Drosophila melanogaster: one gene and its partners. The protein of the gene in region 1 interacts with the protein of each later gene in a pairwise test. Each region holds a gene or a part of one and is shown in the gene's direction. Other genes may lie near its edges. The genes, in order: CG1394, opa, CG14153 and CG42659.

Region 1 (7,265 bases):
GAGAAAATCGTGCACACTTCTTGCATCAACAATTGGATATTTAATATTACTAATAACCAAATACATACCAAACATCATTATACAATAATTACACTCTTAATTGTTCTTTTGTTTCTTTTGCAACTTGTTTGACAATTTAATTACTTACTTACGTACTAAATAAAGTTACTCTTTTTAAAGTGCTTTTTAAAGTTATATGTCTTTTGAACTGCCAACAATACTACTCACATACGTTTTCGTGCCCAACTGTTAGTGCAGGAGCTTTGGACCTCTCACATGCTAGTCTCCCCAGAGGCTTTGGTTATTACAAATGGTCGGACAGTCAGTTCGGAGTCCTCTTCCTGTTTCTGCGTTCCTGCAGTAAATTTTCGCTCTTACTTTTTTTTCGCCTGCACATCGTTAAAGATGTGAAACCGCCTGCTAAAGCTCACTCAAGTGAAAAATTTGAAAACGTCCAGTAAAATGAAATGAAATGAAATGCGAGAAAGTAAAAACACACACAAGGCCATTCGGGCAGGCTGGCCAGGATACAAAAAAAAAGAAAAAAGGACGAGAATCAGAGTCAGTGGCCATAAACGTGGGCTGAAGAGCACAGCAAGCGGAAGCTCACGTACGGCATATTAAATAAATTGGCATGGCTATGTGATGCGGTAAGAATCCACGCTCCAAGGCACCAAGGAGAGACCAGAAATCCGCCCAAGAAAATTCCACCGAAGCGGAGTGATTAGACGGCAGTCATTAAGGGGTTCACCGCAACTGGGCTTAACTACTAGCCCAATATATTCGGATTCACTGGATTTTACCACTGCAAATTAACATTATCGAATGTTGGCTCTGACTTGACAAACGATACTTGATATATTTTTTTTCGGTTTTTTTTTCATTTTTTTTTTCTTTTTTTTGGCAGGACTAGAGCTTCAAGACCCCACTCAGTCCGCTCGAGTTCAGTCCATTCGAGGGCCATCAATTGACGCAGAGAGCAGCAAAGTCAACTGGTCAGTGCAAACAACAAAAAAAAAAAGGTTGGGAAAAACTGGTGAAAAGCCTGTCCTCAAAGTCGCAACGCCGATGGAGTGAATACTCTGGGGAAGGAAATCGGAGTATTATGTTTGCATATCAGGAAAATAACTATTCAATCAATAAAGCAGATTCATATAGTTTTAATATACAAAAGGTAAATTTAAAATTCCACTTAAAAACACCTTGGAATAGTATTAGAAACAAATCCAAAGATTGAGATTACTTTTCAATTCTTTTAAATACAAATAAAATATAAAACATAAGGCATTCAATATTTTAGCATTGATCGAAAACTTCTTGAAAACAGCGCATATCCTGCAGGGAAATTCAGGATCGTGAGCGGAAAATGGGAAAGTGCGCCGGGTGAAGGCGGGATGAGACAAATCGGTTTAGCCTAACTGCACTGACAGCCAAACACAAACACACTCGCAGCGGCGCACAATTGAATTTATGTAAGCCAGAGTTCTACAAGCGAAACACAAAAAAAAAGGAAATCGGCGAGGAGAGAGGAAAGAGTTGGGTGTGGGGGGGGAGGGGGTGGCGAAAAGCAGGAAAAGCCACGTGGAAGGGCGGGCGAAAATTGCGATGAAAGGGCGGGAAAAATGGCGGGCACACGGAAAAAAGTTCAACCGTTCGGAATCGGTGCCTGGGCATTTGTGTTATCGGTAATTATTTTGCCACTTTTTCAAGTGCTCTCACCACTTTCACCCGCCCGCCCGCCACTTGCCCTGCAACTATCCCCATCTCGCTCCCGCCATTTGCCATTTGCCATCCCGCTCCCACCCACCAAAGTCGCCACTCGAAGTAGAGTTGAACTAAGCTTATTTACCCATTTTTGCTAATGGCATGGGAGGAAACCCATGGCGAACAGACAGAGGCGGAGAAAGAAATAGGTAGATGTGAATGGAAAGAGAGAGAAAAAGTGGTCCACCGGCTGTAGTAATGCGATAAAACTACACTGTGCTACAGTGGTGAAGATTTACTAAGAGGAAGTCATATAAATCTATGGGTTAAGTTCCATAATTTATGAAGCTTGCTATAAATTCAATACTGCTTTGCATACATAGTCTCAAAGACCGAATTAACTTAGTAATTAATCTGTAAGTCAATTTTTTTCCTTACTATATTTACTTTGTCATTTTGGCTCACTGTGCTGGTCCTTTGTCCTTTGCCAGCTACTTGAATGTTTGCTGTTCCCAGCCAAAACAGAATGCAACTGCTAACATATTTGACCCAAGTCGAAGTCCCCCACCCCCCTCGAGACGCTTCGCCTCCTTGAAGTCCGACTGTGGTATGCGTTTGTTTGCAAACTTGATGAACTATGCTATGCACTGGCCTCTTTGTCTTCCCGCTTTACCCGCTGCCCTTTTCTAGTTACCAGCTCGCCAACCCAGCTGCCCTGGCCCATCAGTCTCCCATCCGGCATAGTTGGCATCACATAATTTGGAATGACCCAAGGTCAGGCGTTGAAATATGAACTCAGTTGATCACTTACAGCGCTTAAGACACGAAAAACCAGAGGAATTCCAGCATAATTTATATTGAGACAAATTTCTTTGCACAAGAAGTGCACAGTGTGTAGTCATAAATAATAGTATCGGTTTAAATAACTTCAATTTTATTGCAATTTAACTACTATATAGTTAAAGTAAGAACCTTGAATATTAAAATGTGCTGGATTTTTCTTTCAGTGCACCAAAGCTATGTGCTGTAATTTTAATTTTCCCACCCAGCATTTCGGTTAATCTTCGCTGTGTTTGTATATTTTTTTCTTTTTTTTGCGCACTTGTGTCGCACTTATGTATCATCATTTGTTTGGCTCTGATTTAATACTAGCAATGACACAATGTTGACGCCGGCCGAGGACAGGCAATTTAACTACGTTGTCGCCACTGCAGCGCGTCAAGGACGTGGGCATGACAGTCGGATGGTCACCCGGCCTTACAGTCATCCAACCATCCAACCATCCAAGCATCCAGCTATCCTGCCATCCGGCCAACGCCTCATCATCGCCCCTCAGTCGTCATTCCGTGTCCCATTAGGCGTGGGCCTTTGTCTTTGCTATCATTATCAACACCCTGCCATGTTGCGTTCTTTTATTTTTCTCTCAGCTTACTGCTTATTCTTCATATTCGCAGGCACAGTTAAAAATAAAATGCGGCCAACGTTGCGTATACGCAATATCAGCATTGAATATTAAGCATACGCAATGTTGAAACATTTAATTCCTTATTGTCAACTAGAACTATAAAGTAATAATTTATACTGTACATTTGTTATATATGTATATATTTTTAGTATGAATTTTCTTTCACTGCATCTGGTTGGTTTATGAGACATTTTGTTGTTGCTTATTTTGCTTTCGCCTTCGTTTTCACTCAGTTCAAGTGTTTTGCATTTTATGCTTGGCACAAGAATCAAGTGGAATGTGAATGGCCAAGAGGGTGAGAACCTTAAAAATACCGTATTTAAATGCCAATCATGTGTGAATCAAAACGTGTTAGATGGGCTATAAGATCAAGTTGAAAGTTAAACACGAAATAGCATATAATTGCTTATATTTGCCAAAATGTTCAATTACTTTAATCGAATTTAATGCAGTTTTATAATTGTTTTATAGTTAGCAAAGTAATTAGATGCACAATGTTTTATTTCTATTTTATGGTACCAAGTCTTTAATACCCATTTAATACCCAGTGTGTAAATAAACGTTTGTTGCCGCGTCTTCGTCATTATCATCTGTGCTGCATCACGACAGTTGGCGTCCTTTTTCAAAAATTAAACACAACGCTGGCCATGCCACGCCCCTCGGTCGCCCACCGCCCCCATTTTCCGACAAGGCTAAACCAAAAAAAAAAAATCATAGAAATAGGAATCAAGACTCAAGAGCAAAAAGATGAAATGAAAATAAAAAGAAATGTCATTTATCACAATATAAAATTGTATGCTAAATAACACGGAATGACCTGAATTAGAAGCACAAAAACCTTTATGAACAATCTTATGTCAGGTTAATAAATCAAATATTTTACGATGATGTACATATATACTATGGTAACTTATAATTTGCTATTCAAAATATTTAGAAAATATATTTACTCTTAGGCATTTTATGGAAGAGCTAAACCTAAAATATGTGCCAAGGTAAAACAATCAATTTAATATCGTATGTATTTTCATGGCCAACTGCAATCGGTCGAAAAAAAATTTCCAAAAATTTCCAATCAACATATCCATGAAATTAAATGTCAAGCCGAAAAATCGAGGTACCCCAGCCGGAGCTCCAGATTATCAGTTATATTTTAGATCCCAAACAGTAAACACCGTTCAGCGGAGCAAAATTTTGTACAACTTTTATTTGGTCAAAAAAAAAAAAATCGAAAGAAAAACTGTTTCTTTTTCACCACTTTCCCAAATTATTTGTATTTAGGATTTACTCAACCGCAACTCACAATATGTCGAATTCGTTTTCGTACTGGAATGGCCAGCCGTTGAATGCTCCCGTTTATCCGCAGATGGGTGACTTCATGCAGCACTCTGCCGCTGGAGCAGCCGCTCCACCACCACTATCAGCAACAGCAGCAGCACCAGGATTAGGATCAGCCGGCGGACTAGGAGGTTGGCCTAGCCAGGGCGCAGCTCAGGCACACTCCATGCTACCATACGCCGGAGGAGCCGGTGGCATGCCGGCTGCCATGCCGGGTGCCATGCCGGGCGTCATGCCGGGTGCCATGTCGGGTGCCATGCCGGGTGCCATGCCGGGTGCCATGTCGTGTGGCATGCCCATTACAGGAGCCCAGCATATAGTGCCGCCACCCGTGGACCGTTCAATATATGGAGACATACCCGGACGAAATGAACCGTGCATCGACAATGGCGAAGCCTTCTGCGCCTACAACGGCATGGACATGAGCATGAACTACGGCGGAGGCAGTGCATCCAAGGGTGGCTTCTGGTAGGATCGATGCCACGAACAATGACAGCACGAGCATCTTCACCGAACGACTAAAGTGAATCGCATATGGGCCATATACATACACAATTAGTTTTCGAACCAAACGTCCGTTTTGTGCAGCTCAAACGACTCGTACTTGGCGAAAATGTATAAAATAAATGTCATAAATCCATAAGATATGAAAATAATCAGTTGGCACAAATCGGTGGGTGGGTTAATTGCATTAATAAATACAGAGATGAGTTAACGTGCGGCAAATTGAATGTGAGAAGAGCGTTGTAAACTCAAATCGCATATATTTTATATGCTAATTACTAAATAGGCAAAATGTGATGTATGGCAAAGGTTACTATTGTTATTTTCACTCGGCAGTCAAATATTGAAGTTTTATTTTTTATACAAATAATTAAAGCACAAATCAAGCTTACATTGTAAATATTTCGATTTTTCTATTTAGTTTAAACAAATCAAATTTAAATAACTAGGTGCAAACCATTTATAAGATTAATAGACCCAATTTTCCACCGTATGATTATCTTGAGCACTTCGTATAAATATATGTTCTTGAGATTCGCATTGTAAAGTACAAAAAACAATACAAGTTTCATCGTTTCTAACTATGCAAATACAACGCCTGCCGCCCCTTTTGTCGTATCACAGGGCGTGGCTGATTGTCACAGTGATGAGATGGCAATTTCTCAACACGCTAACGAGATGCACTTACAAAAAAATGGGTATGCCCATTGGGAAATTATTCTTAAAAAAAGATTCGATGATTTATACTAAAATTACATGAATTTAGCATAATCGTAATGTTACCAAGTCATTATATATTTATTCTATTGTTTGGCTCGAACTTTTCTCTCAGTGTACTAGGCTAGAACTCGTTTGGAGAGCGCACGCAACCATCGCAGCGATATATAAAGTGGATCTTCTGGCCGAGATTCGAGTAATCATCGTTGAAATCGCAATCGAAAATCATGGAACGCTGGCAGAATCGCGTGGCCGTCGTCACTGGCGCCAGTTCGGGCATCGGATCGGCCATAGCCAAGGATCTGGTCCTAGCCGGAATGACGGTGGTGGGTCTGGCCCGACGTGTCGATCGCGTCAAGGAGCTGCAGAGGGAGCTGCCGGCGGAGAAGCGCGGCAAACTTTTTGCCCTCTACTGCGACGTGGGCAACGAGAGTTCCGTAAACGAGGCCTTCGATTGGATCATCCAAAAGTTGGGCGCCATCGATGTGCTGGTCAACAATGCCGGCACCCTGCAACCCGGCTATCTGGTGGACATGAATCCGGCCGTAATGCAGCAGGTATTGCAGACGAACATCATGGGCATCGTGCTGTGCACCCAGCGAGCGGTGCGTTCCATGCGGGAGCGCAAGTTCGACGGCCATGTGGTGCTCATCAATAGCATCCTGGGGCACAAGACCATGACGGCCACGGAGGGCGTGGCGCCCGATGTGAACGTCTATCCGCCCAGCAAGCATGCAGTTACAGCGCTGGCCGAAGGATATCGCCAGGAGTTCTTCGGCCTGGGCACCCGCATCAAGATTACGGTTGGTTCGCTTTCCATTTTCCACTTTCTTCGGATTGAACATTTTTCTAACCCCTTTTTGGCTTTTTCCGCCAACGTAGAGCGTCAGTCCGGGCGTGGTGGACACGGAGATCGTGCCGGACAGCATTAGGGAGGCCATCAAGGATCGAATGCTCCACTCCGAGGACATCGCACAGGGAGTGCTGTACGCCATCGCCACACCGCCACATGTCCAGGTGCACGAGCTGATCATCAAGCCACTTGGCGAGACCATGTAGGCGGAGGAGCTTCAGGAGCTCTGTTCTTTTTTTTTTTTGTATTTTTCCTCTTCATCTTAATATTTTTGCCGTGACAGAAAATATGAAGCACCATATTCACACAATTTTCGTAGACAGTTTAATATTCACAGTTAAGCTATACACGTTGCAATAAAACTATTTAAATTTAAATTTAGTAAGTCGGTTTAATTTACTTAAATTTGAAATTGAAATTCCCTGTCTTGAGCAGTAACAACACATGCAATGAATGCGATAAATAAATGGGAATGCATTTCCATGGGTAAACGGAAAATTGAAAATCCAGCCGTAAGTGAAAAAGTATGGTAAACATATATACGTATGTATTTACTATATAGGAAATGCGAGCAATGGCAAATGACTTTCCGCATAATGGGGCTGGCTGGCAACTAATTGCCAATGGCCCTAATGGCTTTAATTGACAATTTTTGTTGTTTTTTCTTTTTTTTTTTTTAGCTGG
Region 2 (8,862 bases), on another chromosome or scaffold:
CTGATCATAAATTTTGTTCAAGGTCTCCTGGTTTCCGATCGCCTTTGTTTTTTGCTCTTCAATGGAAAACGCATTGCGGAAAAAGGATGTGAGCCAGTATGGCCAGGATTGCCAGGACGGCCCTCACCTTGGTGTTTATGGCATGTAAATATTTATGGTTGACATGACCTTGTCAGTCCGTGTCCTACGGTCAGCACTTCTCTCGTCACGCACTTTTTTATGATTCGTCCGAAGCAAAATTGCCGTGTCCGCTCTCCGGCAAAATATTTATGGGCATATAATTTTCCACGATTTTCATTTTCCCTCTATCTGGAGAATCTCGAAGCGATGTGTGGGCTAGATGTGCTGCCTTGTTCCGGTGTCTTCATGGCATGGTCGTAAAAAAATTGACTTTCCTAAGCTGTCTCGATTCCCTAATCCTTGTACTACCTCCTAGGCATCGCCAGTTTATCACGCCCCGGGATTAAGCATTCTGATTCAGATGTCCTCGCCTTTTTCGAGATTCGCGAATTGCCTTTTAGGATTTGGCCAGGGCCTTCTTACCTGTCTGCTTTATTGGTTGTGCAACGGGAAGTGGGTGGTTAAGGTTTCGGGTGGAGCGAGCTCACCACGTGCTGAAATGAAAAGGAGGCCCATGTAGATCGTTCATAGTTTTGGAAACTCTTTCCAAATATTAACCTCGCATTCAATGGCGTACTCTTTCAATTTGATATTATTGTGGTGTGTAATGGTAACAGGCATTTCTTGCAATTTACTATTGAACTTTGTGGCAACGTCTTTATGCTTTCATTGCACAAAAGAGTGCTAGATTTATTTTCTACGCAATTAACAAGAGTATATACTTCATACAGTACCAAACAATTCATGTGCTCGCTTAAATATTTATCTGAACATTTTCCATCTTTACTTCCATTTGTTGAAGCACATTAATCGGCATAGAAGCAATGAAAGGAAATCGCGAGGAAACCAGTTGGACAGGAAACTCCCACGCTCCCACATCACTCCGTTGACACCCCTCCCTGCCTTTTCGCACCATGGCCATTCACTCTGTGGGCTCGGCACGGAACTCTCCATCCCGCACTGGAACTGGAATCTTGAGTCTCGGCTCTGGAATCCCGGGTCTCATGCGAACCCCTGGCAAAAGACCAGTACAGTGCTCACCGCTGTGATCGCGGCATGTGCCAAAGGCGTCCACGCCAGGTTACGGTTTTATTTTGATTTCGGCTCTGACTCTGATGAGTCCGTGCCCATGCCACGCGGCCATGTCCCCAGGTTGTCCCCGACGCCCACCGGTTGGTTGCCCACTTGGTTGTGGCCAAACTGATTAAGCACAGCTGAGGGTTCAGTCCGCTGCTTTTAGGGGTGAAATCGACACCAAAATATGAATACGTCTACTAACACGACGGATTGCAAATAATCAGGGCTTAAAAGAACTCGACTATAAAACATATGGTTGGCTATGATGGAGGAAGATAATTAAAAAATCGCAAAAGCTACAAGATTTTTGATGTTACTTGGATCTTCAGAGCTTCTATTGAACTTGGAATGATTGACTGGGTCGTTAAATTCGTTTTCTGCATTGGAAAGTGGATATTCGGTCTAGTCCAAAATGGACCTCTTGAATCACAGACAACAACAGAAGCTGCAACCTGCTGGGCCAACTTGCATTTTGTTTATCTGGGCATTTTAAATTTATAATTTCTTGTTTGCTAGCGCCTGAGATTGTTTCCCCCGCTCCTTTTTTGTTATTAAGAGTTTATTGCATTTTGCGCTTCCATTTTCAAGTGGCTCGTACGGCATTATTTATGGGAGTAGTTCTATGGCAGTGCGCTAGAAATCCACTTCAGCCGACTGCTCCGTTTGCAGCCCATCATCTGCTCCAACCCGGCGGCTTCGTCCTCATCCTCCATCATCGATATGGAGCAATGGCTTCATTTCGAGTGACACTTGTCGCTGGAGCTCTGCGGGACTGGGTGCCTGCCAGCTCGGTGCACTTTCCGCTGCTTTATGGTCTTGCCCGTCTCCCAAAATGGCATTGGGGTCGGTATGACATTCGGACGACTATGGACTGTCGATTGCCGTCCGCTGATTGCTGATTGCCGCTGAGTTGTTTTGACAATTTAATAGCCGAACCGCTTGGCGGTGACGCTTTATGTCACAATTTGCCCCAATTAATTCATTGCGGAAATCAAGGTAATTAGCATGGAATCACATGGTCTTTTCTTGCTCTCATTCTCATTTAAACTTTACCAGGAAATATTGTTTTCTCAAACGATAAATTCAGGGCAATATATTTGATTAGAAAATACTGTTTTTGAATAAAAATTTGATTACTCAATATATATCCAAATTCAATTTGATTTTAATTATTATCGTTTTAAAAGCTTAAGCAATTTTTAATACTCTGCCAGCAATTACATATCAACCTTAAATTATCTACAGATGAGGACTAGTTCAAAACACGAATACTAAACGAAGACAATTTTGATGTTAACGACCTTCCTTTTGCATCGCTCAGTTTTTGGATTGTAAATAGAAAAAATCATATATTTTGAGAAGAGCGTCTGACTATATACATACAGCATAGTGTTATACCATATTATCACAAAGCAAATGTTTTGTATGAAAATAAATTTATACATTTTTGCCCTATGCAGGCGAAGTATCACTTCACAGTCTGCCCCAAAAGCCACTTTGCCGGGGCACTTAACACTCAGCAGAATCCAATCAAGTCGATTGATACAAGATTATGTATTGATTCGACTACTGCTTATTGAAAATTCCATAAATTAGCAAATGAAAAACAGAGCGTTTGGCGCTAATGAAATCTCGTACGTCTTTATGGCGCAACCTAAACAAAACGGCTGGAAATCTCCGATGTCCGAGCACGGAATGTGCTTAATATCATTAAAATCAATAAAATAAACAACTAATTTGATAAGCTGACAGCTGGGCTACCCGAAGTGGCGGGCTATTCGTCCGCCGTGACAATGAGGAGCGGGCTGGAAAATGCATCCCCGCGAGCTTTCAATTGGCTGCCCGTCGGTCCAATCAGCATTTGGGCCCCCTGCACAGGCGCACGCCGCACGCTGTCGGCCCACCACCCAATGGCCAACCGCAGTGGGTGTTAATTTTCGCGAAACCAGTTTGCCGAGCGAGAGGGCGCTATGGTCGGGTGGGTTCCAATTGGACTGAGTGCGCAGCCTCTGTGCTCTTCTGTCCGACTCTGGAGCATGCGAGGAGGCGGCCATTTTCTTAGAGTTGTCGCACTCGCACCCATGGCTCAGGCCTATCCGACAGAGTGGTGGCTTGTGCCGAATACACCATGGCAAGCGCAACTCACCACAGGCAGGTCATACGCCTGGCCTGCTCGCACTCGCGCTTTCGTTACCCTCTATTCATTTTACGTCGTGCATAGGTCGATCCCATTCGCACGCATGCGATCGTCGGCAGATATTTTCACGAGGCAACACAGCAGCGAGTTAGAATTTCAGGAGCATTTCAGTCCTGCTGCGCATCTTGAAACGTCAAGTCTTGGCATTCGGTTAGCGTCAAGTCTTGCTGCGATTCGAACGCCCCAGAAACGCATCGCGCGCGAGTGCATTACGTAAATAAGTATCAAGTCGCATGCGAAATATCTAAGAGCGAAATAAGCGCACAGTATATACAGCTAAGTGAGGTGACCTCAGTGCGTGATGGGCTCATTGGCCTAGCAAAGTGCGAATCGAAAACTTGTAGTTCAGTTCTTTCTGAATTAATTTTAAAAACATATAAGCGAGCAATAACACTGTAACCATGATGATGAACGCCTTCATTGAGCCGGCTCAGCACCACCTGGCCAGCTACGGGCTGCGAATGTCGCCCAACACCACCGCCAGTAACAGCAACGCGCAGCAGCAACAGCAGCAGCAACTGGAGATGACCCAACAGCAGCAGCAACAACAGCAACAACAGCAGCAGCAACAGCAACAGGATCAGGAATCCGCGGCGGCCACTGCTGCAGCCTATCAGAACTCCGGATATGGGCACTTTAACAGCTATGCCTCCCGGGACTTTTTGCTGGGCAGGAGGGAGGCCGAGTACGGTGTGGCAGGATCCGCCGGACAGGCCTCCGCCGCAGCGGATTCCATGCTCTTCTCCGGCTTTCCCGCTCAGGCCGCGGAGCTGGGCTCCGGGTTCGGACAACACCCCTTCCACAGCCACCATCACCACCATCAGATGCGAATGGGCATGGCGGATGCCTACGCCGCCGGCCACCCGTACAACCACCACGGCAACTTCCCGACGGCGGCAGTGCACCACCCGGTCGTGCACCACCCGTCCCACCACGCCATGTCCGCGATGCACCCGGCCGGAGCAGGGGCCTTCCTGCGCTACATGCGCCATCAGCCGGCCTCGTCCGCCTCCAGCGTTAAGCAGGAGATGCAGTGCCTCTGGATAGACCCCGACCAGCCGGGCCTGGTGCCCCCGGGCGGCAGGAAGACCTGCAACAAGGTATTCCACTCGATGCACGAGATCGTCACCCACCTGACCGTGGAGCACGTGGGCGGACCCGAGTGCACCACCCACGCCTGCTTCTGGGTGGGCTGCTCTCGCAACGGACGCCCTTTCAAGGCCAAGTACAAGCTGGTCAACCACATCCGCGTCCACACCGGCGAGAAACCTTTCGCCTGCCCGCACCCGGGTTGCGGCAAGGTCTTCGCCCGGAGCGAGAACCTCAAGATCCACAAGCGGACGCATACAGGTAAGTGTGGCGGTGCATTCCGCTTTATATTTAAACCATATTAAACCATTCATTAAACTAAGAAAATACTTTTATTTAGTTTTGGTTTGGCAGTCAAATTCTGTGTGTAATTATTCCTGTTTTATAAAGATCTTAATACTAATAGAAAGTCGAAGCCTTATGCAGATTTTAACCGCTTATATTTAGAATAGCACATGCTAGGTCTGCAATCTCTTAGAATTCACCTTGCGTGGGCATAACCCTTGCCCGCCTGGGCAAATCCCGGACGTTGTCGATGTGAGCGTGTTACCGACGGCAAAAGTCGTTGCAACGCCCACTACCTGGCTTAACCCGCCACTGGCCGGGCGGGTCATCTTTTATGACACCTGTAAAACCTGCGCCCAAAGCTCTTCCGCGCCCAGAAAATCCCGCAAAGATGTTGTCCTTACGGCTAGGATTACTCTACGGCTTTAGGTTGACTTCGACTTTTGGTCTTAGTATTTCCCTAAGCCTGCGACTTCTCTTGACTTTGGATTTTGACTGGCATGTATTTAACTACGTTTGGAAACTTGGTCAAATTTGTAAAGGAACTGAAAAATTTAGTTTAGCTACTCCTTTGTTTTTTATACTTTAAGCCTTGTTGTCGGCTTCAGATTTTGTATTATTTAATAATAATGGCTTACTATTACTTTGATAGCCAACCGCTCTATGCAAATTCTCAATATAATTAATTTTTCTTAAATCCATCATTAATCATGCCCATTTCAAGCATTTCTCTTTCAATTGTCTTTCAAAAATAAATTAAAATCGCTTTGCAGCTCATAGCCTGAACACTTTTGAAAAAACATAGCCATAGTTGGAGGCTTTAAAATACAATTTATGCGGTATAGTCGTGATCTATGAGAAGTCGAACTATAAAGCCAGAAACGGAGCTTAACGCAAATTAATGACTTTGATTCCAGTGGCTGTTGAACTTGTTCCATTGAAATTTATGGCTGAGCATGTAGGGCTCATTAGAAGCGGCGAAACACAGCCATTAAAATCAATTAACAAGTGGAAGTTGGGAAAGCAAACATGAAATGCGAAAACACAAAACAAAGTTTCGCATAATTGGTGAAAAGAGCGCCAATCAGGTTAATAAACTTTCCAGCAAATATCGCTTGGTCCTGGATTATCCTTGATTGACCTCAGCCTTGGCGTAATTAACTTGGAAATTGGAGGAGAAGAATGAAAATATGGCCAGCAATATTCCGCAATATCCAGCATGCTTATATTTTGTTGTTTTAATGTTGGCTTTTGGCATTTGTTGTTGCCTCTTTATTTCTATTATTTTGTAATTTGGCCTCATGATTCCAAATTGAATTAAAATAAGACGTCGGGCTTCATTATAGCTTCATCTTGTAGTTACCGCGATTATAAACTCACAAAGAAATTCATAAATCACAGAATTAGCCACACAAAAAAGCTATTTCTGTAAATCTGTTCGGACAACAGTATTTTCTTTTGCACACTCATCGAAAGGTAATTAAAATGTTTCGATTTGATTTCGAGACGCCGCCATATTGTGTTCGATTTTGGAACAATCATGTGGCATTATAATGAGTTGGTTGCTGTATGATGATATTTTTGACTAATTTCATATTTCTTTTCTCCGCCGTGATGCAGCAGAAAAGTGCATTTTAGGACCTCTGACTGATTTGTGTGTGCCTATGATTGGTTGACCTGGCTACACATTGTCGGAGATAGCCAACATATTGATTAGCTTTCAAGTGGCCGGCGCACAACTTCATTACGGATCGGGATCGAGCTGGGATCGGTCTGGTATCTGGCTGGGATCGGGGCCTTTAACCTTTCCATACGACTCGGGCACTTGAAGTAGCATCCTCCACACCGCATAAATCAAAAATTCAATCAGCATCGCTGGCTCGGCTAAATGTCCCTTGGCACTGGTGTTTGTTTTTATTGCATTGACACCGCCGACCCAGGGCAAATAAACACACTCGAACACACTGTGTTGACACGTGTCAAAACTTCCGTTTGAAATGGCTCGGAAATGCTTCCGAGGCACTCCGTGCTGGCCCTCTCAAAAAAGCCATCGAAACCGAAATTGGGGTAACACTCGCCGGATTACTGGACGCATTCGCACATTCGCATTCCACTCCTCTAGCTTTATTTTATTTGCGCTGCGATTGTTTCTGTGCTGTTCTGTTTGGGTTACTCGCCATGCTACATTAAGCTTTTGATTTAGATTATGCAAAGGTTATTTACGACCTGGCTTCCACTCCTCGCCGATGGGACGGGTGAGGGGTCCGAGTTTGATAAGTGGGTGAGTAAAACGGAGCAGGGCAGTCAAGTACGTGTTTATGGATCCAGCCGATATAGATCTGCCCAAATGGTGCCACTGTAGCAGCTCGAACTGATCGAAGGGGTCAGTACACCGCGGCAGGAGTTGACTTTAAGATTCGAGTGTGGAACGAGAGTAGGAGATTATAGTTGTGAAATAACTCTCAGTCAAATCCAGTTTTTCGCTATTGCCTCATAAATTGTGTGTTTCTCTCGGCTTAATAATTATGTTTACTTTCTTACATATATCTCTATTATTTAAAACAAAGATTGCATTGCTTCGATTTACCAATAGTTACGATGATCTAAAACAAATTCGATTCAACTGATATATGAGTAATAGTGGGAAGAGTCCTTTCAGAATATAGATCCCAAACTCACACAAACCACCACATGCATATGTCTCTTTTTGTTTCTTTCCCACCGTTCCGTCCGGTCACTGCGTTGTGTTAACTTTTGCACTTGTCCCCGTCACCGTCTGAAATTTTGGCTAGCCTCCTGTCCATCCTGTCCATCCTGTATTCCCCCCCCCCCCCCAGCACCAGACTCCGCCCCTTAAACTCGGCACAAAAAACCCGGCAAACAATCAAGGTTTGTCTGCTCTGTGGCCGTTGTTTTTTGTTGTTTGGGGCTCTGTTGACCGGCCCGAGAGTCTGTGTGTCTGGATAGATGGCGTTTATCACGCTGTGCGGTTTGCACACACATAGCCATCTTTTACACGATTCTTTCCTCTCCACTCCACTCCACTACATTCCGCTCCGCTCCGCCCGGCGGACCACAAACAACTTTATTCATTAACACCTACAACGGCCACAGGATCCGACTGCCACAAGAGCATTCAACAACTTTGTGGTTAGATTTTATTCGTAGCGCCCCATCCGCTCCTTCCAAGCTCATTAAGCTGCTGCGAACCAGCTCCCAGCTGCCCCCTTCAACCTCCCACCACCCAAAGCCCACCACCTCTGGTTTTCCCCGCTATTCCTCGCTTTTCAAGTGCAACCTCTCACTTTCCGCTTCCCCAGGCGCCTTGTTGTTGTGCAATTATGCTGCGGGGCAAAGTTTAGCATTTAACATTGTCCTGGCAGCTGCGACCCTTGTTTGATTAGCTCCCCCTTTTGCCAGGATGCCCCTTTCGGCCCCAACTCGGCTCCATTTAATTGAGTGCAAGTGTTTTTTTAATGAGTCTTTTATGGACTTGTTCAGCTCTGAATGATGAAGTGAATTATGCAATTATTTACACTTTTAGAAAGCTTTGGGGTAACTGAGGTGGGAATGATAGTTCATTCCACACGTAGAAAGTTATACGAGAAGTAGTTACACGTTAGTCAGATTGTCTAATCGGATCTGTAGGAATCAATGTTGTTTTCAGGACCAAAACCCAGATGATTATAGAACTTCAAAATAATTTGCACTGCCCACTTCTCAATGCATTTTTTGCTTGCTCGGCGCCAATTCAATAATTTTTCAAAACACAAAATTCTGAAAACCAAAGCGCTGGCAAATGTCAATGATTGATGACTTTATTGCGGGTTCAATGGTTTTCACAAAAACAGACACCGAACAGCCTCAGATACGGATATAGCTACAGATACATCGAAGCGAGAGACAGAATCACTTTTTATTTTGCGGATAAACTGTGTGTTTGGTTTCTCAGAATTTGACTCTTGCCAGAACAATGGCCAGTAGACGAGGAAGAGTCAGCGGGAGGAGGCGGTGGAAAAAACCTGCGATGTGCTCGAGCTGATTACCTTACCTTCACTACCTGGTCGCATATTCGGGCCAGGATCTCCTGCCTC
Region 3 (7,450 bases), on another chromosome or scaffold:
GCAAGCAAGCCATCTGTACAACAAACCAGCTTTACCATGAAGTTCCTACTCGTGTGCACTCTCATCCTGGGCCTCGCCTTCTTCATGGCCTCTGGCAAGGATTGCAATGGGTTACGCTCGACAACAGCTCTACTTAACTGCTTCCCATACATTCTAGCCCTTCCCCAACTGAACAACGAGGCCCCCATGGTTGGCGATGACCATCACCACCACCCGGTGGTCCGCAGCGTTCACTTCGCCGAGGACGTTCAGGCTCAGCACAAGCACGATGACGTCGCCTGCTGCGGCTAGACATCTCCATTTGGAGCAAGGCGTGACGGCAACTTCATCGATCTTAAACCGCCTTTAACTTTTAATAAAGAGCAATATTGAACAAAGAACATAAATGTTTTGGTTTTCTAAAATGTTCGGTTTTGAACGAGTTCAAATCTATTTTACAGAAGAAATTGAACTAAAATTCAATAAATTTTAGAACGTTACAAGATTTAAAAACATGCACCAAAAACAAACATTAATGTGGTTGATTTTGCGTGATATTTATTTTGATTCAGCATTCTCTATAGTTTTTTCTTCTCATTCTTCTTGCTTTTATCGCATATATAAATCTTTATTTAGTTTGTGTGAATTTTCATTATTCTTTCATTTTTTTTTTTGGTACAAATTGTATGCGTTAAGTTTTGCCATTTTATTAATCCTTTATTTCTATTTGTAAATCTTAAAAATTATTATTATTGCGCAGCTCAAGTTTATTCTGTTGTAGATTTGTTTAAATACGTTTATCAAAGTTGACGGCGTGAAAATATATAAATGCATCCGCTTTTTAGCTTGTGGTTCAGTTGTGTGTAGGCATTTTAGGTCGTACAATTCGTTTGTTATAGTAATCAATTAGTTTATGCATTCTTTAGATCTTTACACCACGTTCTAAACACATTGTCATGTACAAAAAAATACTTTAGATTTGATTTAAAAATGTTTTTTTTTTTTTGTTTTATATTTATAATCTCTGCATTAGTGGAATTTAGGATTTATCTCATACATCTCGTATACCCAAACATCAGTTTAAACTTTGCGCTAATTTGTTTTTAGGTTAATTGGGTTCCTTGCATTACTTAAAATTAGGGCTAGATTAACAACTAAATATTGTTGCTGCTGATATATGCGTCCCACTTTTTGTCCGACTTCTTTGCTACGTTACGCGGAGGCTGGAGTCTAAAACAGTACGAAACAAATGCTGGAAATGCACACAGGGTAAAAATAAAACTAGAGGTTGCCTCCTGCTAGCACAACACTCGCTCACAATTTTTTACAAATAATACAGAAGCCTACTAATTACATAAATAAAGGTAAAAAACCATTTAAATCGATACGCATACACATAGAAATTAACGTTAATGAACTCTCCGCCCACACCGGCCGCGCCCACCGATCCCCTCCAATATTATGCGGCCAACAAACGCTGTATATTCTTCGGCGTGTTCTCCCCATTCAAATGCTTCGTCGTGTATCGCAGGGCATTCAGCAGCGGCTCCGCCTTGATGGCCGGTTGCGCCTGCAGCAGTCGGACGCACCCCTTCACATCCACATGGGCGCCACGCACGAAGGCTCCCTCCGGATGCACATGGTCGTAGAGGATCACCAGGCCGACCATTACGCGCAGCACCAGCATTTTCGTGTCCTCACGCTCGATCTGTTGCAGGAGTTTTCTAAAAGCAATATTGTCCATCGATTAGAATACTTATTATCATTGATAGTGATTCATTTAAACTCACGGATTTTCCAGCATCCTCAGGCACACCTTGGCCATGGTGCCCAGCGTTTCCGTCGTGTTCTGGACATCATCGGCATTGTCATTGACAAACTTTGAGGTCGCCTCGCTCAGCACCTTGAGCATGGGCGTGGCGTGGGCGTAGAACAGGGACATCCGGTTGGCCAGTTCCGTGCTGACCAGCATATTCTCCGTGGAATCCACACGCTGTCGGCTGACGATGCGTCTGTAGTAGCTAAAATCATTCTGTATGGCGGGGGTTTTCATCTGAAAAATAGAAATATACAATACAACTTAATAAGTTTATCACTTTGAACATGATTTTAGGTATGCAATATGCCTAGCAATGAAATATTATCTGGCATCATTTCGAAACATCCGTCAAAATGAGCAAGCAAAACAGTACGGGATTTAGGAACATATTCAAAAATATTTACAAACGAGACATGAAAGGGTAAATTGAAAATTATTTAGTTAGTTTTCTAATCAACTTTTGGGATGTTGATTCGCACCGCTCGCAGAAACAGACAGAAGACCTTCGTCGTGGAGGATTCCGAATCGCAGAAGCCCGAAAAGAATCCGAGTCCCGAGCGCAAGGAGGATCGCAAGGAGCGCAGGAGGGAGGAGGAAATGGAACGCAAGCGGGAACTGGAGCGGCGAAAGGAACTCGCGAGGGAAAAGGAACGAGAGAAAAAGCAGCATCAGCAGGAGTGGCGCAAGGAACTGGAGAAGGAACGTCAGCGTGAAAAGGAATTGCAGCGTGAACATCTGAGGAAGGAGCCATCCACTTCCTCCAAAAGGGTAAATCCAGAAATCACCAAATTCGACGAGGAATTCGAGCAGGATATTCAGAAGTTGGAGCAAAGCATTTGCCAGCTGGACTTTCGCTCCAAAACGATGGCCACCATGTGGATGGACAAGCTGCGCCAACCACCACAAAATGCAGACGAGGCCAGATCTAGGAACATAATAACATCCCATCTGCTCAAGTGCTGTGGCGATAACATATTCAATAAGGAGCCATTCAATCATCCTCCGCCACCACAAAATTTGACAACCATAAGGGAGATGATGGTGCGTTTAAAGCAAGTCGTTCTTGAAATATTAAGCTATAGTCATATTTAGACAATTTTTTCTTTTCACTGAAATCTAATTATTTTGTATTCTTTTTTCTAGTTCTTAACGCGCGATAGTACGTGCCACGGAATGCCCATTTCCAAGCAGATGGAACCCAACGCCAATCTAACCCAATTATTTAGCGATTCATACGATGGTGGCGAGTTCCTGAGAAAGCTTCCAGTGCCACGTGATGGGGCATTCTTTATCTATTACATGCAACCAAATTTGTAGAAGTGAATTGGATTTTAAAGTAACGCCAGCTAAATTTCAAACATAAGTCTTCAATTTGTATTTTTTATACAAAATGTTAGTAAGAAAACGTTGATACCCTTTACTATAATAAAGCAAGCTCGAATTGTTTCTAATTTTGAAGTTCAGTCATATTTTTAGATAAGATACATATGTAGGGAAACGGACTTGTAAGTTTTTCTTCTAGCAAGCAGCTTTATCAACAAGATCATAAGGTATGCAACTATCGGTTGCTTTCAACACTCGCTCTTGTTAACCTCTAATTACAGTTGACTTGAAAATCTAATTACTAATTACGCGGTACGTGACACCGCAATTTGCCTGCCGCCCGTGTTGCCAATGCTTCCAAATGGTTTTCCACTACGGGCCAGGCCCAAAACAACGATGCCGCACTTAAGCTGTCAGGGCTGCAAAAAAACGTGCGTGAGAAAAAATACAAACATTACAGAAATGCCGCCTGCTAAATTTTTGAGTCAGGTAAAGTGGGGTTTGCTCATCCAATCACCTTGACAGAGGCGCTGCTGCAAACGAACATCATGCACTACTATACATTACTATACTATATATACTATATGGCTTTCCAGAGAGACTGTTGTGAAACCTCATATAAATACGTTATTAGCATAAATCGTTCTGAACAGTCAGAAATGAAGCCGCAAACAGGACGGATCGTGAAGAGCAGCTCGTCGAGCTGGGTGAGTGTTTCACTAGATTTCCATTCGGACACCCGAGATGATTAATCTATTAATGATTATTCCAAGCTATGTGCACTTATGCCCCTGATGATCGATGCAGTTTGTGGGAGAGCTCAGTATGCATCACCTTATGGCAGTGCTTATGCAATTACCACATCCAACTACGCTCAATCCAACTATGCCAATCCAGATGTACAATCGATATGGTCGGGTCCGCCTATCATAGTGAATGATAATCAGTACAGTGCCCAGGAACAGCAGCAGTATCCAAAAAGTAATGGTTATTATGTTGCGGAACCTGCGTATAGACAAGCATATCCAAATTGGAGAAGGGAAGACCCAACACATGCTCCCAATCACAACTATAACAATGTGCCCGGCTACTTTTACTATCAACAACAGGAGACTACGCCATCAACACCTCTGCGCTATCCTCAATCTCAAATTCCACCTCAACTTCAGCCATATCCACAAAGGAATCCGGAATTGGAGACCAGCGATTCGGGTCGCGATGAGGAGCAAGTGGTCCAAATTGGCGGCAGTCGCTCATTGGCCACAAATAACTATCTAAATACGTACAATAATAAGGAGAATTTCTATGAACCCGCTCAGCCCTGGAGGCGTCGTGATTACCAGGCCAAATATGCCCAACATTTTGCCGAATATTTGCGTAAATATCCAAGACGCCTGCAGCCAGTTTACAACACCAACGAGGATTTTGTTGAAAAGTAGGGGAATACTCTGCATTTGACTTTGCATCAAAAAACATATTGAATAAATCCCCTCAAGAGCCATTAGCAATTTTCGTTGAAAGCGTGCCAAGAAAACTATTTCTGTCTGTACTCGGAACAGATCAATTGCATCCGATAAAGATACAGATTGCAGCTGCTGTAGAGTCAACATGCCAACACAGTAAATATTGGTTTATCCCTTTAAAAGGCAAGAATAATAATAATTGTATGTAACAAAACTATGCTTAGTTAGTTCCGTAAGAGATACACAACAATAAAAGTTATTTTCAGAAGATTTTAATTAATTTAAAAAACTTCACTAAAAGGGAAATACCCATTTTTTGAAGCATGTTCTTTGTATTCTGTGGCATGCGTTGAACTTTGAATATCAGTGGTTAACTTACATAAAGGAGCACTAAAGCCAAGTTTATTGTACTCTATACAAGTGCCTTCTCGATGCCCCAAGATTTTTCGCAATAAACGCGACATTAAAACGAAGCAAGTTACAAGCAAAGTCAATAAATTGTACAGCATACTTTGGGGCGCACTGAAAACTGGTGGCAACAAAGGCGCAGAAACAATGCTCCTCCTCTTCGAGAAACGGAAGTGGCAGTTAGTTGGGAAGCACGTTTGGGCTATATAGTATGTACATACATACATATATATATATCGGTGTATACATATATGCAACTTTTTACACGGGAAAATCTGTGAGCGCCCGGCGGCTGACACTTTGAGCACACAATGAACGTGCAGTTTGCAGCGTTTAACATCATCATCATCATCATCGCCATTATCATTACCATTATCGTCGGGAGCACAAAGTTGCAGACACACTAGACATCAGAGACTAGAAACCGACGATGGCGATGACTTCGCCATTCCCTACCTCCACCATTATTTACCCGATTGTCCTAGATCCCAGCTTTCAGCTATACATATAGTGCTCCACAATCGATTTGAATGAAAGTTTCGCCAAACGGAAGCGAACCATGGGAAATGCGCCATTCACAGGGATTTGCCATTAAACAAATCGATTTTATTTGACTCCAGACAATCAACCGGCATATCCTCCAACTGCCGCAGAAACTGATGTGGCTCTGTGTAATGTGTTTTAACCCAGTGCGGGGATACGTTTGTGTTTGCATAGTTCACAGGCCTTTGTTATGGCCAAACACTTCAGGTTAGCCAACATAATTGAGTGTTTGAATTTCATTAAAAACCTATTGATTTTGTGGGCATTTTTTAAAGAGTTTATGCTAGGAAAATAGTGTGGTTATTGTGCGTTAGTTGCAATGAGTAATATATAATCAAACAAGAACGGAAAAGGTAATTTAAAATAAAATTAGGAAAATGAAAAAATACTGAACAACGTTCCTTTTATAATAATCACAAAAAAAAAAAACGCTGTATAGTTTTTACACACGCACTTAATAAACATTTGTTAGCTCTCATAAATAACCTCTTGTTTACTTTTTGAATTGTACCCTTGTAAATCTTTCTCAATCTAATTTTTCCGTCTTGTACATACATTTTTATAATTTTCTTATATAAGTGAGATATTCTACTTTAATGACCCGCACTGTCAGGCCACCGAAGCCGACATAATACACTTTACATCTTCATCCGGCCATCGGTCGTTTGTCGTGGGCCATTTGGCTTGCGTGCGCGTAAGTGCCAGCGATGCTCCACTGTGGCCCCCCAACGAATGTGCACGAGTGGCCCGAAAGATTTTTCATCAATGGGCCGCAGCACGCGCTCGTCTTGGCCATTCAGCCAACCAGTCAGTCAGCCAATCAGTCAGTCAGCCATTCAGTCAGTTAGCCAAGCAAAAACAGGCAGTAGTCGGTGGGCAAAAAAAAAGTCAGTCAATTAAAAATGCAACCACGCGCACCATGAGTTGGCAGTGGAACTCGGTTTGGCTTCATTTGACTCGGCTTTTAGATACATATTGCTTTGCTTTGGCTCGACTGTCGACAGCGCCCACATAAGGTAAACAAACAGTGAAGAAGACTGAATTTAACCCACTAACATTTTTGCAAACAGACGGAGATTAAATTGAATTAAGCCTTCATAAGACGTTGTCAACATTTGCATCTCTTTGCTGTTTGTGGCATCTGCAAAGTTACAGGAATTACCAGTTCGTTTGCAGTGATTACTAGTCTCTCGTTTAGATTTATTAAGATTTATGTAAAAATCCATTTAAGTTTTTATGCCATTTTTAGTGCTTTGTTATTGAAAATTTAAGTATTATTGACATAAAATGTATCTGCAAAGGTTTTTGTTTCACTGTAAAATGTTTACTTATAATTAAAGAGCCCTCTCAATCACTTTGTTTTATTAATTTAATAACCCACCCATTTCCCACTAATGTTGCCCTGTCAAACACAAGCAATGTCTTGTTGTCAGTGCCTGGTTTTCCCACCTCCAGCCATTAATGGGTTAACGTCGTGGGCGTCGTTACATCCAAATATGGACTACAGAGCTTGTAACACCCAGCTGTCAAAGTGAGCAAACTTAAACTAAACTCAACTCACTCACCTTGTACTCATCGAACTTCAGCACGAACTCCAAGATCTCGGCCAGCTGCTTGACCAGCGCCTGCTGCGTCTCCAGATGCTGTGTCGGATTCAGTTTTCCGCCCACCAGCTGGCCCAGCAGCTTGGGCACAATCTTGTCCAGCTCCATGGAATGCTCGTAGCAGCGCTTCAGCTTGTTCACCAACGGCAGCACCGCCGCCCAGGCTTTGGCGGTCACCTCCGGCGATGGATCGGCGATGGCTTCTCGGATTTCCTTGCCGGCACCCTGTAAATATTCGCAGGAACGAAGGCGGAAAAGCGTAAGTCAATACATTTGGCTCTAAGAAGGATTAAATGCTAGCTTGGCATGCG
Region 4 (7,018 bases), on another chromosome or scaffold:
TGAAAATGTGGGTGCGGCCAAGGGGCCCCATATGATGGGGTGATGGGGCATACACGACTGTCGATGCATCATCAGAGCTCAAGTATCTGAACTTCCCGGGCTACTGTGAATTGCGGAGCCCCTCCTCCATCAATTATGCTGCGAATTTCTTCATTACAATTATCTCGTTGTGCTCTTGGGCCGCCTTTCGCATTGTTTCCCTTCCAACGTCATTGCAGCAGCAGCACTCGTGTGTGGAGGACTCTTCACTTCTTCGTTCTCTTATTTTTTCCTGATGAGCAAGTGATACGGCAGAGTCCCTGGGAAATTGGTTTTAATTTTGCCACTTGACGTGGCCGGCACTTGTCGTGGCATTGACTCCCATTCACCACCCCCCCCCCCCCCCCTCCCATTACATCCTTTTCCTCGGGTGTCAATGTCTCGGCTCTCGATTTCAGGTGAGCCCGATTTAATGAATGAAGATTACAGGGGCCATGCATTGGCTCAGATTTATGCGTAATGATATTCAAACAGGTTATTTATTGACTTAAGTCTTGAGTCTTTGGTTTCAGCTTCAGCTTTGGCTGACTCTATTTGCTTTTCTCGGCAAACAACTGGATAATTAAAGCATCAAATGCAGACAAGCCAGTTCCGCGGGAATAAAAATGTTACGATTCTTACGACTCACAAGAAAAATGATCTAGAATTAGTCTGACATTATGGCGTTTTGACTGCAATTTGTGCTGCTTTATTATTAAAAATTATTATTTAGTTATTTTAGAATATTTTTCTTTTCATTCTATCTTTCCAAAATTTAACTTTAGCACAAATTTGCTCAGTTTACTTGTCAGCCGAATGCACCCTGGGTCAAGGGGTATTAACAATGACCAAGTCCGATCCAGAGATAGAACACACAAGCGCCGTCACACTTGAGCAGCAGAACCAGAGCTCCAAGACACTCGGACGGACGGAGATCTCGACAGGAGACGAACGACGAACAGGTGTTCCAACTTATTCATTAAAAGCAAAAAGGAAACAGACAGCGGCAGGCAGGAGAATATAGAAAACAGCTTCAAGTGGGGACGGAACCTGACCGAACACCCCGTTTCCCTTAAAGTCTCAAGTTGACACTGAAAGCCCACATTTCTTTTAAATTAAAGGTAATTCTAAAGAGCAAACTTTTATGAAGCAACATTTTTAATATTATAAAGAAAGTAAATAGAATAATTTTGGTTTTTCCCAATGACAATATTCTTTTTTCTAACATCTCTCGAAATATGTAACTTTGAATAATTCTTTTCCAGTGTATCCTTGTTGGCTCAAAGTTTTTCGCCTCCTTCAGTCGCTTCTTCAGCTGGTTAAGATTGTGGTCGACACGCAATTGCGGCAATTCGAAGTTGGATGCGCTCCGCGGGGCCAGCGAACCGAGGCAAAAGCCAAGCTAAACGCTTAGAAGCCCCTCTCCACCAGTTGCTCCTCTTGCTACCCCAGGAACTCACATCCGCCGCAGTATGGAGGCAAGTTTCTTGCGGCAGCGACAACTGGCAACCTGCCACTTGTGACTGGCAAGCAGCAACTTTGGAGCACTGAGAAAACTAGAGATAGACTAGTAAAGAATTGTTCTATAAATTTAATTAATTTTTAAATTTATTAAATACGCCTTAAAACTGATCTAGCTTTGTATTAAATGGATTTTTATGTATAGATGTTCTATATCCAGTTATGTATAGAAGAGAGCAGATTTTTGCAGTGCATCAACTGGCAAATTCAACTGGCTGCATCGACTGAAACCGAAGCCGGTTTCGGGTGTGTTAACTTTCTATGCCCGGTAGCGCTGATTGCCAAGACAACGACAGCCCAATTCATTCAGCGGTCTCGCCTTTCAGCGGCAGCAGCTGCTCGAGGTTCTTTGGGCCACTTCCTCGCCTTTGTAACCGCCTTTGTCCACTTGTCCAATTGCTTTGCATGGCCAGAATCTGGAATTTCTGCAGGCTATTCCAGTTCGATTTATCATGGGCAAAGTTATGATCGCTTAAGTGCCGTCGTTTAGGGTTCCTGTTTTAGCCTCTGCAATTGCTCCTCATAAATTCTTCCCGTGACAACACTAATTGCAACTTGCTAGATGTAATAAGAGGCTGGGAATAATTTTAGCTACTTATACAGCCATAAATCCAGTTGGCTTTCGAAGATCTAGATTTCGTATCCATGGATATTTTGCCGGATTAACATATAAGAATTCATGCCCAAGCCAGTCTGTTTTTAAGAGTATACAATAAAGTTTGAAACCTCATTTTTTGGATAGCATAAGCAAAACTCAATTGTAATGAGCTTAGACAAATCCGTCAACCGAACCCAAAATGTTATTCATTTAAACTTCATTCCGGTAACCACAAAACTATAAATTTATTAATTGTTCTTCAGTTCACACTTTCCGCGACCATCGAAAACATATCAGTGGACAATCGTATTTGACAGCCCATAATTGCTGGCAAATTAGAATTATTTATTCAGCAAAACCATTTCTGATTGCCATCCGTTTAGAGTTTGTAATTCATAATCGATGTTTGGTACGCTCCGCGCATAAAACCGAAATAAAACCACAAAATAATAGACACAACTATGTATGTTCAGTATGAACAGATCGTTTCCATGTTTTGGCTGTGACGGAAGTCTGGCCCCATCGCATAGGAACCCAAAATATATACACACAGACCGCGCAACTCTTTCAAAAAGAGGCCATAAATATTGTTCATTTGTAAATAAATGGCTAACGAAAAAGAAGAAAAACTACGAGTAGTGAAAATCCAACAACTCACAGAGCATATAAAACATGGTTCATGTTCATTTCCAGCACTTGGTTTTCTATTTCCAAGCCAAACACTCTATGGTGTTCCATGTCGCTGCGTGGGTGCTCATTTTTTATTGCAGTATCATCTTCCGGTCACTTTGTCAGGCCTCCAATACATTTCTCAAACAGTAACGACGGCACAAGTGTGCCTACTTGGGTTCGAACTTGAGTTATTAAAAACAGAAACGGAATCCAAGAAGTAATAGAACTACGTCCGACAAACGGAAGTCGGATAGACAATGTCGCAGTGTGGATGGGTTCTATCTAAGGGTTACACTGAGAGTTATGTGTTGTTACAGGAGCTTCTCATTCGAATCTCTTAATAATTAATTGATTTTGCACATTAGTTTCAAACTATTAGTCTATAGAACTGAGCAATAAAATGAGTAAGCTAATATATTTAACTTCATTGGTTATGCAGGAATTGGGTTCTTCTGCTTATGCCACTTAAAAGCAGTTCGCGTGACTGCACTTAGTTCAGTGGCACTAGAGTCCGTTTGCTCGGAGTGACCGGTCCCAAAACCACCAAGTGAACCGTCCCCCTAGCACTCCGCCCCAACACCCACTTACCGCCCATTTCCCCACCCACCTACACACGCAGTCGACGCACCGCGTTACGCTTTGAATATAAATTACACAAATAGTGCACACGACTTTGATGGCTGCAGCCGGCGACATTGAAAGCCGACAACGCTGCACAGTGGGTCGAATCCGAAAAATTATTTATATTTTAATGATAATGATAAGCTTAAAGTGTTGACTAAAATTATGCTATCTACCTCAATCATAAACATCACTATTTTCGATTTATCACATCCAATTTAATTAAAATAAACCCTTTTCGGTCTTTTTGTCGGTATTTTGTGTGCTTGAACAATGCATGTGAAACTTTTATACTTTCCAAGCTGAAAGCCCACAAATTAACCCAAGTCAAAGCACTTCGGTTCAAACTCTTTGGGTCACTGCAAAGACCACAGTGCAGATGAGCTGCCAGGAGCGCTGGTCATATCACCATGGCCCTTTGATGCTAATGACTCTGCCATCGCCTTAAAACCGGGGGATAAGCATCGATGGGGGCTCACAACGCTCCGAACTTAGCGGGCAATCAAAAACCGTGCTGAGGCAAATTGGCATGCGTGATGTAGATGAATGGAGATGCAGCCAGATGCAGCTAGATGCAGTGGCCAGGGGGAAATGGCGATGGATGGAGTTTCTGGGCGGGGGCAGAGGTACATATGTGGGACAAGTGATTTCCGCATCGCTTTCTGGATCGCAGCGAGCGGCTGCGTTGATTGATTGATTAATTGACAAAGGAATTGCCGTTAGTTTTCCATTCGCATTTACATTTGCATATCTAATTTATGAACGGCCAAGTCTTGTCCGGCCGTATGTAGTTCATTGTGTTAGCTATGCAAATGCTGTACTTCCGCTGCGAGCGTCTGCCCAAAGCAGCTTAATTATTCATTAATTTCAACTTAAATTCCATATTTGTGCCTGCAGCCATTTGTGGCCCAGTTTCGATGGCCTGCAGTTGCAGTTATCTTTCCGCTGGCTTTTGTCACCATAAAACTGAAGTGTTGCCCGATTATGAAATAATTATAAGCGTTCTGCACGCACTAACCGGTGATTTTAAGGGCGATTGGACTTTGATTCGGATTTTGGGAGATAGAGTTCAATGTGGGAGCTATTCGCATCGATTCTAGTACGAAATTAACTAGCTTTGTTTAGAGATTTGCGCAACTCGGGCATCTAGTTACCCGTTCCATTGTGTTTCAATACCCATGGAAATGAGAACATTTATGAGCCTCACTCGGCCCGAAAATTGCACCCAGTTAGCATCTATGTAAATTCACAAAATCTATAAAGTGGGACCCAATTTGCCACTGCCATCTGCCTCGACCTTCGTTTTCAGTGGAGGTGCTGCAGCATGCCTTGCATATTTAATCCGGGCTACATTGGACCCGATCCGCCCTGCTGTGACCCCGATTGCTTGGAGGAGGGCCACTGCACGGTTCCGGAGTGCGGAGTTTGCCCGGAGTCCCAACTACCCCGATGCAATCCCGCCCCACAATCCAACAAGGACGCGGCGAAGCAACCACTGGACCAGAAAGCCCAAAAAGAACCGAAGCTCCGGGAACAGAAGTAGTGGGGAAAAAGGCAAAGCTGCAAAAATGAACCAGGAGTCCTTTGGAGATGTGCTGAACACACAACCTTGTTGTGTGTTGCTAATATCTTCAAACATCTTGAGCTAAACCCATTTAGCTCATCATCTCCTGGGCATCGAACCGTCATATTGTAACATTATATTTCAAAAAAATTAATAATAATAATAAATAAATAAAATGAATATCTATAAATAATAAAAACAATAATAATATATATTAACCTCAAATTACCAGCTCTTTTCTATTTTAGCACAAAATAACTGTGGATAAAAAATACAGATAAAATTAATTCATTTTCTTATGATCTATCTAAAATGAAGTCAAATAAATTTAAACCAGCATTCTTGATTTAAATGTCAACAAAATAACACATAAGCGTACATACGCATTTTCTTCATTCAAATTTCAAGCACGAAACGTGTTGTTCTGGTCAAACATTTGTTTAAATTTCTCATTTTTCTCTTCCATTTCCGGTGAGTTTCGAAAGAGAAAATGTGGGAGATGTATTTATAAAATAAGATTTGCAGACTTCTTTCGAGTGCTGAAAATGGTTTACTTAAGTCGTCCTTGGACTCCGGCCATAAACCCTTTCTACATTGGCCCCTATCCGAGATGCGCAGTATGTCCGTGCAACTTCGACATTTACAAAGGATACACCCCCGGTGGCTGGCACAGTCGTTGCTATAGCAGCTATTGACGAGACGAGTACCTGTATAAAATGCAAGAATAACGGCGGGAACAAATATAGTTGAACTTTGAAACTGCACACCAATTAGCCTCGCACACATCTATGTAGAGAAATAATAAAATTGATTCATCGTCACCAAACTGTTGAATATTGCTGGGGAAATAATATAAATATTCCAATCGAAATGGCTTAGATTTCAAATTAGAACTCCTGGGAATTTTAGTTTATCAGGTCGCAAATTGTGTGAAAATAGTTTTCTAAATTCAAAATTCAAGTCTCTTGGTCATGTCCTCGTCTGTGGATCACGTGGTACACCACGTACTGGCCCCAATGGCAATCAACGTCCTCGATCGCGTGGTGCCAGTAATCCGCCAATTGGTGATCATCATGCATCAGGCATTTCTGGTTGATCACCATGTGTCGGAGCCCGTGATCGATGTATCCGGCATGATTCAGCCCGTTCGTAAAATAGTCTTGATTGTAAACGATTCAACGCCGGAGCACCATGTCGACCAGGAGCAGGTGGTCAGTTCGGATGACATTAACTACCTGATAAATGAAATTTCGCGAAGTATCCGAAACTTGGCCCGTTCGACCTATAATACCATCTCGGCGATGGCTGGAGAGTAGCCCTAGAATTATTTGTCATCGTGGTCGATCGAAAAATCCGACATCGACCCTCCTGATCCTCCAGAAGATCCTGCTCCTTTGCCCAAGATATGGAAATGGTTCACACGGCCATCGGAGTTGCGGGCATAGTGGCCCTGTTTATGGTAGTTTCCCGTTCGTTAACTGAAGTGGGTGGCAGGGTGTTAAACCAAACCCGTGATCCGATCGCTGACCTTGTGAGGCGCGGTGGTCCAGTGGCGGATCAGCTGTCCGCCGTCGAGGGCGAAACTCCTCTAGTAGAGGGCGATCGCATGGATGGCGCCTGCTCCGTGGTACAAAGTATTGGAGGCAAGGCATGTGCCTTTGTAGGACCATTGCTTCCTAAGTTTGGCAGTGAACATAATTCCGAGGGCTCCTCCAAGGAAGACGAAAAGGATAAAAAGGACTCGGAACCGGTAGTAGTAAAACCTGAAACACCGCCAGCGGCAGAATTAACCGAAGAGGAGTAGGATCTAGTCAGCAACTATGTCGAATAGAAAGCAAAAAAAAGGAAATTTTTAGTTTTCTCTAGTTGGCCTTGGAAATAAACTTCACTCATCTTGTGGGCTTTGTGGGATTCGAAACCTAGAGAGCTCATTCATTTTGAACAGCTTGGACTGAACACATCTCTTTCGTAAAATAAAACACAAAAAAAAACAATATGAAAAATTGAACAAAAATTCTAAATTC

What was found.
Region 2: the proteins of CG1394 (region 1) and opa interact in a two-hybrid assay, tested with the Drosophila melanogaster proteins (one large-scale study listed by BioGRID).
Region 3: the proteins of CG1394 (region 1) and CG14153 interact in a two-hybrid assay, tested with the Drosophila melanogaster proteins (one large-scale study listed by BioGRID).
Region 4: the proteins of CG1394 (region 1) and CG42659 interact in a two-hybrid assay, tested with the Drosophila melanogaster proteins (one large-scale study listed by BioGRID).

The regions. Positions count from the first base shown.
Region 1 is NC_004354.4:11,167,720-11,174,984, reverse strand, and holds CG1394 (uncharacterized protein), read left to right. Parts: upstream 1-4,306; 5' UTR 4,307-4,475; coding exon 4,476-4,979; 3' UTR 4,980-5,174; downstream 5,175-7,265. Other genes in the region: Antdh (antennal dehydrogenase), read left to right, coding at 5,956-6,531, 6,611-6,787.
Region 2 is NT_033777.3:4,849,311-4,858,172, forward strand, and holds the start of opa (odd paired), read left to right. Parts: upstream 1-3,502; 5' UTR 3,503-3,795; coding exon 3,796-4,744; intron 4,745-8,862. UniProt on the Drosophila melanogaster protein: Transcription factor essential for parasegmental subdivision of the embryo. It is involved in the activation of wingless (wg) in odd parasegments.
Region 3 is NT_037436.4:10,639,763-10,647,212, forward strand, and holds CG14153 (uncharacterized protein), read left to right. Parts: upstream 1-3,765; 5' UTR 3,766-3,780; coding exon 3,781-3,828; intron 3,829-3,894; coding exon 3,895-4,560; 3' UTR 4,561-4,853; downstream 4,854-7,450. Other genes in the region: CG18628 (uncharacterized protein), read left to right, coding at 37-94, 158-291; CG32066 (uncharacterized protein), read right to left, coding at 1,439-1,703, 1,770-2,032, 7,101-7,364; CG14154 (uncharacterized protein), read left to right, coding at 2,264-2,839, 2,942-3,115.
Region 4 is NT_033779.5:18,002,029-18,009,046, forward strand, and holds CG42659 (uncharacterized protein), read left to right. Parts: upstream 1-5,331; 5' UTR 5,332-5,465; intron 5,466-5,519; 5' UTR 5,520-5,539; coding exon 5,540-5,689; 3' UTR 5,690-5,814; downstream 5,815-7,018. Other genes in the region: CG5693 (uncharacterized protein), read left to right, coding at 4,755-4,973; CG42634 (uncharacterized protein), read left to right, coding at 5,966-6,310; CG42635 (uncharacterized protein), read left to right, coding at 6,400-6,798.